Linked DNA regions of Danio rerio. The protein of the gene in region 1 interacts with the protein of each later gene in a biochemical or structural test. Links are inferred from orthologs where the notes say so. Each region holds a gene or a part of one and is shown on either strand. Other genes may lie near its edges.

Region 1 (4,596 bases):
TAAATCAAGAAATTAACGCAGAGTAGCCAAAGATTTTCTTATGAAGCCAGTCCTTAAAAATCTGAGTCTCTCCATCTGAATAACAGATATCATGTCAGAAATCCAGTTCTGGCATGAAGGGGCCAAGGGTCAAAGGGGATTTTAGCCACGACCATGCCCTGCATTAAAGACTTTTGCATTGTTTGAGGGAGAGATGTATTTTGTAAGAAGCCAACGTCTGCTAAGCCTTGCAGTACTACGCATATTACAGTTACTCTTACTGGCACAATCAGAAGTGTAAATTTTTTTTTATCAAAGTTGTAAATATACAAAACATTGCTGTATTTTACTTTTTTTGTTCATTCAACAAGAAATAAAATCCTGCTAATAAATATTGAAGAAATATAAGTAGCCTACCTAACATATTTGTAGATTTCACTGTACTTATTAACATGTTTGTTTTATAATTAATTTAAGTTCAACGGAATGGAAATCTTTCAACGGAATGGAAAGATTTTACTGCTGCATCTGACTGAGCAATGAAGTGTTCATTACTCAGATAGACATACAGATAGACATACAGTAATAGTAAAAATGAAAATGAAAACTAAAGTAGGCCTGCAGCACCTACCATGTCATGACACGACTGTTTTTTATGTGTAAAACTTGAAATGAAACACAGAACACGTTTTTGGTATCCAAATACCAAGAAGCTTTTGTCTTATTTTACAATAAGTATATTTAAAAAGAAAACAATGTCAAGCAACGCGATCTGCTTTGTTGTAAATCTCAAACCAACAAAATATCAGTTTTAGGATATAATGGAGAACAAGGTCCATTGCATTTACAATCAAAAATAAACAAATAAACAAACAAATAAATAAATAAACAAACAAACAGACCGAATAAAATGCAGCAAATGTCCAGCAGGTGGCAATAAACATTAGTGTTTTTAATGGAAAACTAATATATTAATGAAATCTCTGGCGTATTAAACCCCCATTGATTAAACCACATACAAAAGCTGAGAAGTATTATTTAAAATTAGATTGCGTGCGTAAATCTATTGAAAATGTAAAAAATTAAAATAAAAAAAAATTGGGCAAAACGAAAACATGAAAAACGTACATTGAAAAATAAATAAAATATAGTAAAAAACACAGGAAATAGGGTAGGAACAAATGGCAATATTTATAAATCTTAATATAAAATATAAAAAAGATAAATAAAAAGTTGGTAATAGTAAGAAAGAAATATGTGACAAATGTTAAAGATGGGGAATTAGAAAAAGTCTATAAAATATATGATATTTTAATGCATGGTGTGTACAAGTAGGAATATATAAATTTGAATTAAAAATGTAGTTAGCAGGAGAAAATAAACAAGACACTAATTAAAGTAATTAAAAAGTTTGAAAGAAATTTGAAAATGGCACGTTTAATTTTTATTTATTTTAGAATGGGCTAAAACTAAACTTCCACCATTTCTATTTCTATGAACTTCCACAAATGGTTCTGTCTATGGAAATATAATATTGGTACATTGTAATAAAATAAATTCATTTTTAAGAAGCATTATGAAAACAAAATAATTTCAAAAATATCGTAAATTAATACTAAATAAACACAATATGAGTTGATTCATGTTGATGGCATTTTTGTTATGGATGCCACAGAGTCCCGCCTACACATGGATCAACAAGAAACTCCGCAAAACATTCGTCCAATCACATCGCCGCTCTCACATCGTTCCTTTCTAACGGCAATTCTCATTGAGTGGATGATGTGTCAGTCACAGTAGCAACGTCCCTTTTCTGGACATCAAACCACAGAGGAAAAACTGCAACAGGGGCTTCACTGAGGGGGCGAAAGTGTAACAAAGCGTTTTCCAGCACCGGTGACTTTATCGCCTTTTCCAATACGGAAGTTGAAAAGAACAACACATTTTCTTGCTTTTCGAGAACTTTTCCCTGTTTGGCGCGGCCGTGCGGGGATGGATGAGATGCGGCCTAGCAGCGGAGCAGCAGCACACCTCGGCCTCGCCTCGATCTTTCCCCCGGGATTGCAGGCCATTTATGGGGAATGCAGACGTCTGTATCCCGACCAGGCGAACCCGCTGCAAGTCACAGCCATTGTGAAGTATTGGTGAGACGCCTGAAACATTCAAATGTCATGTCGTTGCTTGTTATGTGCGCATTAAAGCAGCAAAATAATTGAATATAGCTTGCAGAATAGTTTCACAGATTATAGTTTTCCTTTCTAGCCTGAAAGGAAGAAGTACTTCTAGGCAGAAAACAAATTTTCCAGTGAACCTTTTCTCCATCTCAATATATCACCCTTTTCTCTCAAAATCCTCCTTTCAGGTTAGGTGGTCCAGATCCTCTGGATTACATTAGTATGTACAGAAACGTGGGATGTCCTGGACAAGACGTACCAGAACATTGGCACTATGTCAGCCTGGGTCTCAGTGACTTGTATGGAGACAACAGAGTTCACGAGTAAGAATGTCATATTATAACAGGTCATGACCTTACAGTGTTGTTTTGTTACAACAGGACAGCTAGTCTAGTTCAAGCCATGTTGTTATTTACCTGAAAGTGGAGATCAAACTTAGAAAACAATTCATAAAACACTTCATATTTAAAAAAAAAAAAAAATCAAAAATTTTCTAAATGTAAGACCTTGTGGTTCTAAACCATGATAGTGAAACAGTATTTTTCAAAAGAGCCAAGGCACTTCAACAAAAAAGACCTTTATTTTGAGGAAAACCATGATCAGAACTGGACAGCAAAAATATAATAAACAAGGCTGCAACACCAAAGATCCAAAAATACCAATTTATTAAATGAAGAAGGCTAGCACAATGCATGTAACGTTTTGAGCACATGGTCTTTTCATCAGACTGTATTCATCACAGCATGTTGCTCCTTTTATTCGGGGCATTCTCCCAGAAACCATTTTCACTTATAAAAACGCAACAGGGCCTGACCTACGCTTGTCGTTCTCAAAAAAAAAAAAAAATCATACAAAAACAAACATAAAATCAACTTGAGTGGATAGAACACATCCTTGATCTCCGTCAGCTTCTTATTTATCAAATGATGTCACTTCTGAGTCTTAGCCTTAAAAAAAGTTTTATTCAATTCAATTTAGCTTTATTTGTATAGCGCTTTTACAATGTAGATTGTGTCAAAGCAGCTTCACATAAATGGTCATAGCAACTGGATCAGGGTAGTTCAGTTTTTAGTGTTTAAGTTCAGTTCAGTTTAGCTCAGTTCAGTGTGGTTTGAAGTCATTATTGAGAGTCCAAACACTGAAGAGCAAATTCATCGATGAGTAGCTTTTCAGATCCTGAACCATGCAAGCCAGTGGCGACAGCGGAGAGGGAAAAAAAATTCACCAATAGGAGAGTGAAGAAAAAAACTTTGAGAGAACCAGACTCAGTTCGGCACGACCGTTTTAATGCAAGCATTTTATGTTAAATTTAATGCAAATGTGACAGGACACAGAAACATGTGGACAATTGTAAATTTGTTTGTTATATATTTGTAGCATTTATTTGTAGAACCTATTTATAACTTCATGTTTTTATTAGATCAATCAATGTAAATGATAACAACTTAAACTTATGAAGTATTCATAAGTGAAGTATTGTTCTTCTAAATTGCAGTTTATAGCTAAACAAAACTATTAAAGCTGTAGAAACAACTTGGCTGAGGAGAATGACAATGACAGAGTTTACAATGTAAAGTGTTTTAAATGAAGAAACAAATGAAGACATGTTCCTTTACAGAATTCAACCCCAGAAATCAACCATCACTCCATTTTAGACATTTTTGGGATGAAATACTGTTTATTTACTGCATTTATGTTTTTATTTCTGGGACAGATAATGTATGTTTCTGGTAGAATGTCCCATATACTTCTGGATCAGTTGATCTCATACGTAATCTTACCACAAAAAAATAGAAAAATGCACATTAGTACATTACACAACTTACACATTCAAAATAAAAATACAAAAATAAATCAATCCAAATACAACAAAAAAAGCAACAAAACATAGCCAGAAAACTTTTACCCAAACAACTGAATAAACATTATATAGTATATCATATATAATATATATAAAGTATATCAGATTCCTTATTTAAACCTCTTGGAGACAACCCATCTAGAGTGGAAATCCAAAAGGCTTCATGTTTTAACAGCCATTTATTAAGATCTGACTTATGCAGAGTTCAGACTGCATGATTTCAGCCCCGATTTTGACTCACCCACAGGTTTTGAGCAATCGCAGACAAATTCCTGAAATCACAGGCAAATAGCTGCTCGTTCACGCGAGTAACAATCACACAGTGTGAACTATCCAAGACGCTATCTGAGATAATCGCTGATGAGTCGCCGACACCTGTGAGAAATTTGGCACGCTAAATATCTGGAGCTGTCGCCGATTCAAATCATACCGTGTAAAATGAGTTTCGACTGAAAATAACATCGGCGATTACCGACAATGAGAGAGCAGCATCCACTTGTATGGGTCTCTGCAAGCCAGCAGGACGTTGGGGTAGAACTTAAAATTGCTTCTTCTCAGTCAATTTGGACCCAAGAAATGGGG
Region 2 (4,581 bases), on another chromosome or scaffold:
ATGATTAAAGTCAGAGTCAATGGCCTAGTGGTTAAGTGCGCCGACATTTAACTCCATGGTGCTCACAGTGACCCGAGTTCGATTCCCAGCTAAAGGCCCTTTGCTGACCCTTCCCCTCTCTCTGCTCTCAATACTTTCCTGTCTGAAACCTCCACTATCCTTCCCATATTAAAGGTGAAAAACCCTTTAAAAAATTATTATAAATAGAATATGTGATATAAGCGTGCGCTGCTGTAATAAACATTAGAGTAAACAAGTGCTAATCTATTCATTCCATTATTGCCTCCACCACAGTACTGTCTGCATGGGTTAAGAGTCTACAGGACAGATTTATACATCTCAAATGTGTTATTTAAGTGTGTGCTGCTGTAATAAACAATGAGAATCAACTAGAGCTAATATATCTGTACTATTATTGCCACTAGTTTACCACAGTACTTTCTGCATGAGTAAAGAGTCTACTGGACAGGTTTTTATTTCTCAAATATGTAAATAAAGTGTGTGTTTTGCTGTAATAAACATTGAGAATTAATCAAATGTGGGATTAAAGTCAGCACCAATGGCCTAGTGGTTAAGTGCGCTGACATATAGCACCATGGTGCTCACAGTGACCCGAGTTCGATTCCCAGCTAAAGGTCCTTTGCTGACCCTTCCCCTCTCTCTGCTCCCAATACTTTCCTGTCTGTAACCTCCACTATCCTTCCCATATTAAAGGTGAAAAACCCCTTAGAATAATTATTAAAAACTGTGTAATAAAGCGTGTGCTGCTGTAATAAACATTAAGAATCAACAAGTGGTAATCTATTAGTCCCATTATTGCCTCTACCACAGTACTGTCTGCAGAGTAAGTTACTTGACGATGTTTAAATGTAAAAGTCATTACTGCAGGAGTTTCACAACACAAAGCTGAAATAATAGCACACAAATGCAACAGCATAAAGATAAAGAAATATAAATATACAATCTCAATGTCTAATAATGTTTTATGCACACAATACCAAGTGATATCTTTGGTTTGTAATCATGAGGACGATCATCTATCAATGCTATTATTGCCACTAGTGTAGTCTAACAATACTTTCTGCATGTGTAAAGAGTTTACAGTACAGACTTATACATCTCAAATATGTTATTTAAGCGTGTTCTGCTGTAATAAACAATGAGGATTAATCAAATGTGGGATTAAAGTCAGCACCAATGGCCTAGTGGTTAAGTGCGCTGACATATAGCACCATGGTGCTCACTGCGACCAGAGTTCGATTCCCAGCTTGAGGTCCTTTGCAGACACTTCTCCTCTCTCTGCTCCTAATACTTTCCTCTCTGTAACCTCCACTATCCTATCCAAATTAATGCATTAATTTTTTTGTAATAAGTATTATTACAAAAATAAGTGATGCAAGCGTGTGCTGCTGTAATAAACATTAAGAATCAACAAGGGCTAATCTATCTATTCAATTTTTGCCTCTACCACAGTACTGTCTGCATGGGTGAAGAGTCTGCAGAGTAAGTTACATGATAATGCATAAATGGTAAAGTCATAACTCCGGGTGTTTCACAACACAAAGCTGAAATAATAACACACAAATGCAAAAGCATGAAGATAAAGCAATATAAATATACAATCTATCTGTCTAATAATATTTTATGCACACAATAACAAGTGATGTGAAGTCTTTGGTTTGTAATCATGAGGATAATCATCTATCAATGCTATTATTGCCACTAGTGTTATTTAACCAATATGTTACTTAAGCGTGTTCTGCTGTAATAAACAATGAGGATTAATCAAATGTGGGATTAAAGTCAGCACCAATGGCCTAGTGGTTAAGTGTGCTGACATATAGCCATGGTGCTCACAGCGACCCGAGTTCGATTCCCAGCTAAAGGTCCTTTGCAGACCCTTCCTCTCTCTCTGCTCTGAATACTTTCCTCTCTTTAACCTCCACTATCCTATCCAAATTAAAGCTGAAAAAACTCTAAAAAAATAAGTATTATTACAAAAATATGTGTAAGTGTGTGCTGCTGTAATAAACATTAAGAATTAAGAAGGGCTAATCTATCTATTCAATTTTTGCCTCTACCACAGTACTGTCTGCATGGGTGAAGAGTCTGCAGAGCAAGTTACTTGATAATGCATAAATGGTAAAGTCATAACTCTGGGTGTTTCAAAACACAAAGCTGAAATAATAACACACAAATGCAACAGCATGACGAATAATGTTTTATGCACACAATACCAAGTGATATCTTTGGTTTGTAATCATGACGATGACAATCTATCCCTACAATTATTGCCACTAGTGTACCACAGTACTGTCTGCACGAGTAAAGAGTCTACAGGACAGCTTTATACTTCTCAAATGTGTAAATAAAGAGTGTGCTGCTGTAATAGACATTGAGAATCAACAAGAGCTAATATATCCCTACTACTGCCACTATAGTGTACCACAGTAGTCTAACAGTACTTTCTGCATGTGTAAGAGGTCTGCAGGACAGATTTATACATCTCAATGTTATTAAAGCGTGTTCTGCTGATTGAGAATGAACTAGAGCTAATATAAGTACTATTATTTCCACTGGTGTACCACAGTACTTTATGCATGTGTATGAAGAGTGTACAAGACAACAGGGCTGCTTTATATATCTCTCAAATGTGTGCTTAAAGCGTGTGCTGCTGTAATAAACACTGAGAATCAACAAGAGCTACTGCTGTCAGTGTTGACGGAGCGGACTGTTGTTGTGTTTCATTGAGTGATAGTAGCGGGCGACGCCATTAAAACTCCGTCCTAAGAAGATAAGCAGGACTCGGTAAGTGTGCTAATAACCCCCGGCGGTGCTCACCAGCTCACGCGGCCCTCAGCAGCTCCGTCCCGGGCTCTCATAATCCGCACGACACGCTAACAGGAGCGAACGAACCGCGGTGTCAACCTGCTACTATATTTCAAAACACTTCCGGATTTCAAATAACAGAGGAAATCCCGCCCACCGCTCTCTATTAAAGCGGGCTGTCAATGGCTGGAGCTGCTGTCTGTATGGAGCGGATGGCCAATCATAAGCGCTTTTAAGAAAACTATTTGAATAAAACTAAACATGCTTGATTTGCGTTTGTTTTTCTTTTTTAAATTAATGTTTGAAAGAATATAATAGCTTGCAACAATCGTGAGACACATCTTCATACACCTCCAAGTCTAAATAGCAGTAAGAAAAATAAATATATGATAATTAAATAAAGAATCTGCATTCATGAATGAAGTCGTGGGCCAACACCACAATATTCAGTCATACATTTTCTTTTTGGCTTAGTGCCTTTATTAATCAGGGTTTGCCACAGCGGAATGAACCGCCAACTTATTTAGCATATGTTTTACACAGCGAATGACTTTTTAGATGCAACCCATCACTGGGAAACACCCACACACACTCATTCACATACACACTCATTCACACTTATACACTAGGGCTAATTTAGTTCATCAGTTCCCCTATAGCGCATGTGTTTGGACTGTGAGAGAAACCGGAGCACCCGGAGGAAACCCACGCCAACACAGGGAGAAGATGCAAACTCCACACAGAAACACCAACTGATCGAGCCGGGACTTGAACCAGCGACTTCTTGCTGTGAGGTAACAGCGCTACCCACTGCGCCACCGCGCCACCCACACCACAATAGTATCAACCAAAAATTTAACATCACAATTCCTATAAAAAGACAACTACCCAGGTTGCACAGAATTCTGCCCAGATTTGGCTCTTTTTTTTTAAGGCGGCACACAATACTTGGGCCAGATGACAAATGTAGTATTTGGGCCAGATGTTAAGGATTGATATGTAAATCTTGACCCCATTTAATATACATTTTTATTATTTTCAAATAAAGAAAAAAAATCCTACCAATCAGGTCGCTTCGAGAAAAAGCATGCCCACAGTACGCCTAAAGCGCACTGCTTCATGGGTTTATCAATTTCATTACAGTGCCCACAGAGCAAATGTTTTCTGGCCCAGCTCCGGCCCACACAATAACTTTTTTCCTTGGCCCAACTACCACAAGGAATAACGGTCCTGAAGTGGCCCATAACTGGATTAAAGACTGAAGCTCTGCACAAGACTTTTGGCCAGCGGAGAAATTAAAATGGTCGTGCCCAACTGAGTCTGGTTCTCTCAAGGTTTTTTTTCTTCACTCCATCAGGTGAAGTTTTTTTCCCTCTCCGCTGTCGCCACTGCCTCGCATGGTTCAGAATTGGTAGAGCTACGCATCGATGAATTTGCTCTTCAGTGTTTGAACTCTTAGTAATGTTAATTACTACTTACTTAGTAATGATTAAATCACACTGAACTGAGCTAAACTGAACTGAACTGAACTTAAACACTAAAACCTGAACCACACTGTTCCAGTTACTGAACCGCACTGTTCCAGTTACTATGACCATTTATGTGAAGCTGCTTTGACACAATCTACATTGTAAAAGCGCCATACAAATAAAGCTGAATTGAATTGAATTGAATTGTTTAAATCACACTGAACTGAGCTAAACTGAACTGAACTTAAACACTAAAAACTGAACTACACTGTTCCAGTTACTA

Evidence for each region.
Region 2: of the proteins of sufu (region 1) and fbxl17, one has a biochemical effect on the other in vitro, tested with the Homo sapiens proteins (2 studies listed by BioGRID, with this or other methods). The link is inferred for Danio rerio from reciprocal best matches to the Homo sapiens genes SUFU and FBXL17.

What each region holds. Positions count from the first base shown.
Region 1 is NC_133188.1:12,249,932-12,254,527, forward strand, and holds the start of sufu (suppressor of fused homolog), read left to right. Parts: upstream 1-1,760; 5' UTR 1,761-1,971; coding exon 1,972-2,123; intron 2,124-2,341; coding exon 2,342-2,476; intron 2,477-4,596. UniProt on the Homo sapiens protein: Negative regulator in the hedgehog/smoothened signaling pathway. Down-regulates GLI1-mediated transactivation of target genes. Down-regulates GLI2-mediated transactivation of target genes. Part of a corepressor complex that acts on DNA-bound GLI1.
Region 2 is NC_133183.1:1,643,074-1,647,654, reverse strand, and holds the start of fbxl17 (F-box/LRR-repeat protein 17), read right to left. Parts: upstream 2,937-4,581; 5' UTR 2,842-2,936; intron 1-2,841. UniProt on the Homo sapiens protein: Substrate-recognition component of the SCF(FBXL17) E3 ubiquitin ligase complex, a key component of a quality control pathway required to ensure functional dimerization of BTB domain-containing proteins (dimerization quality control, DQC).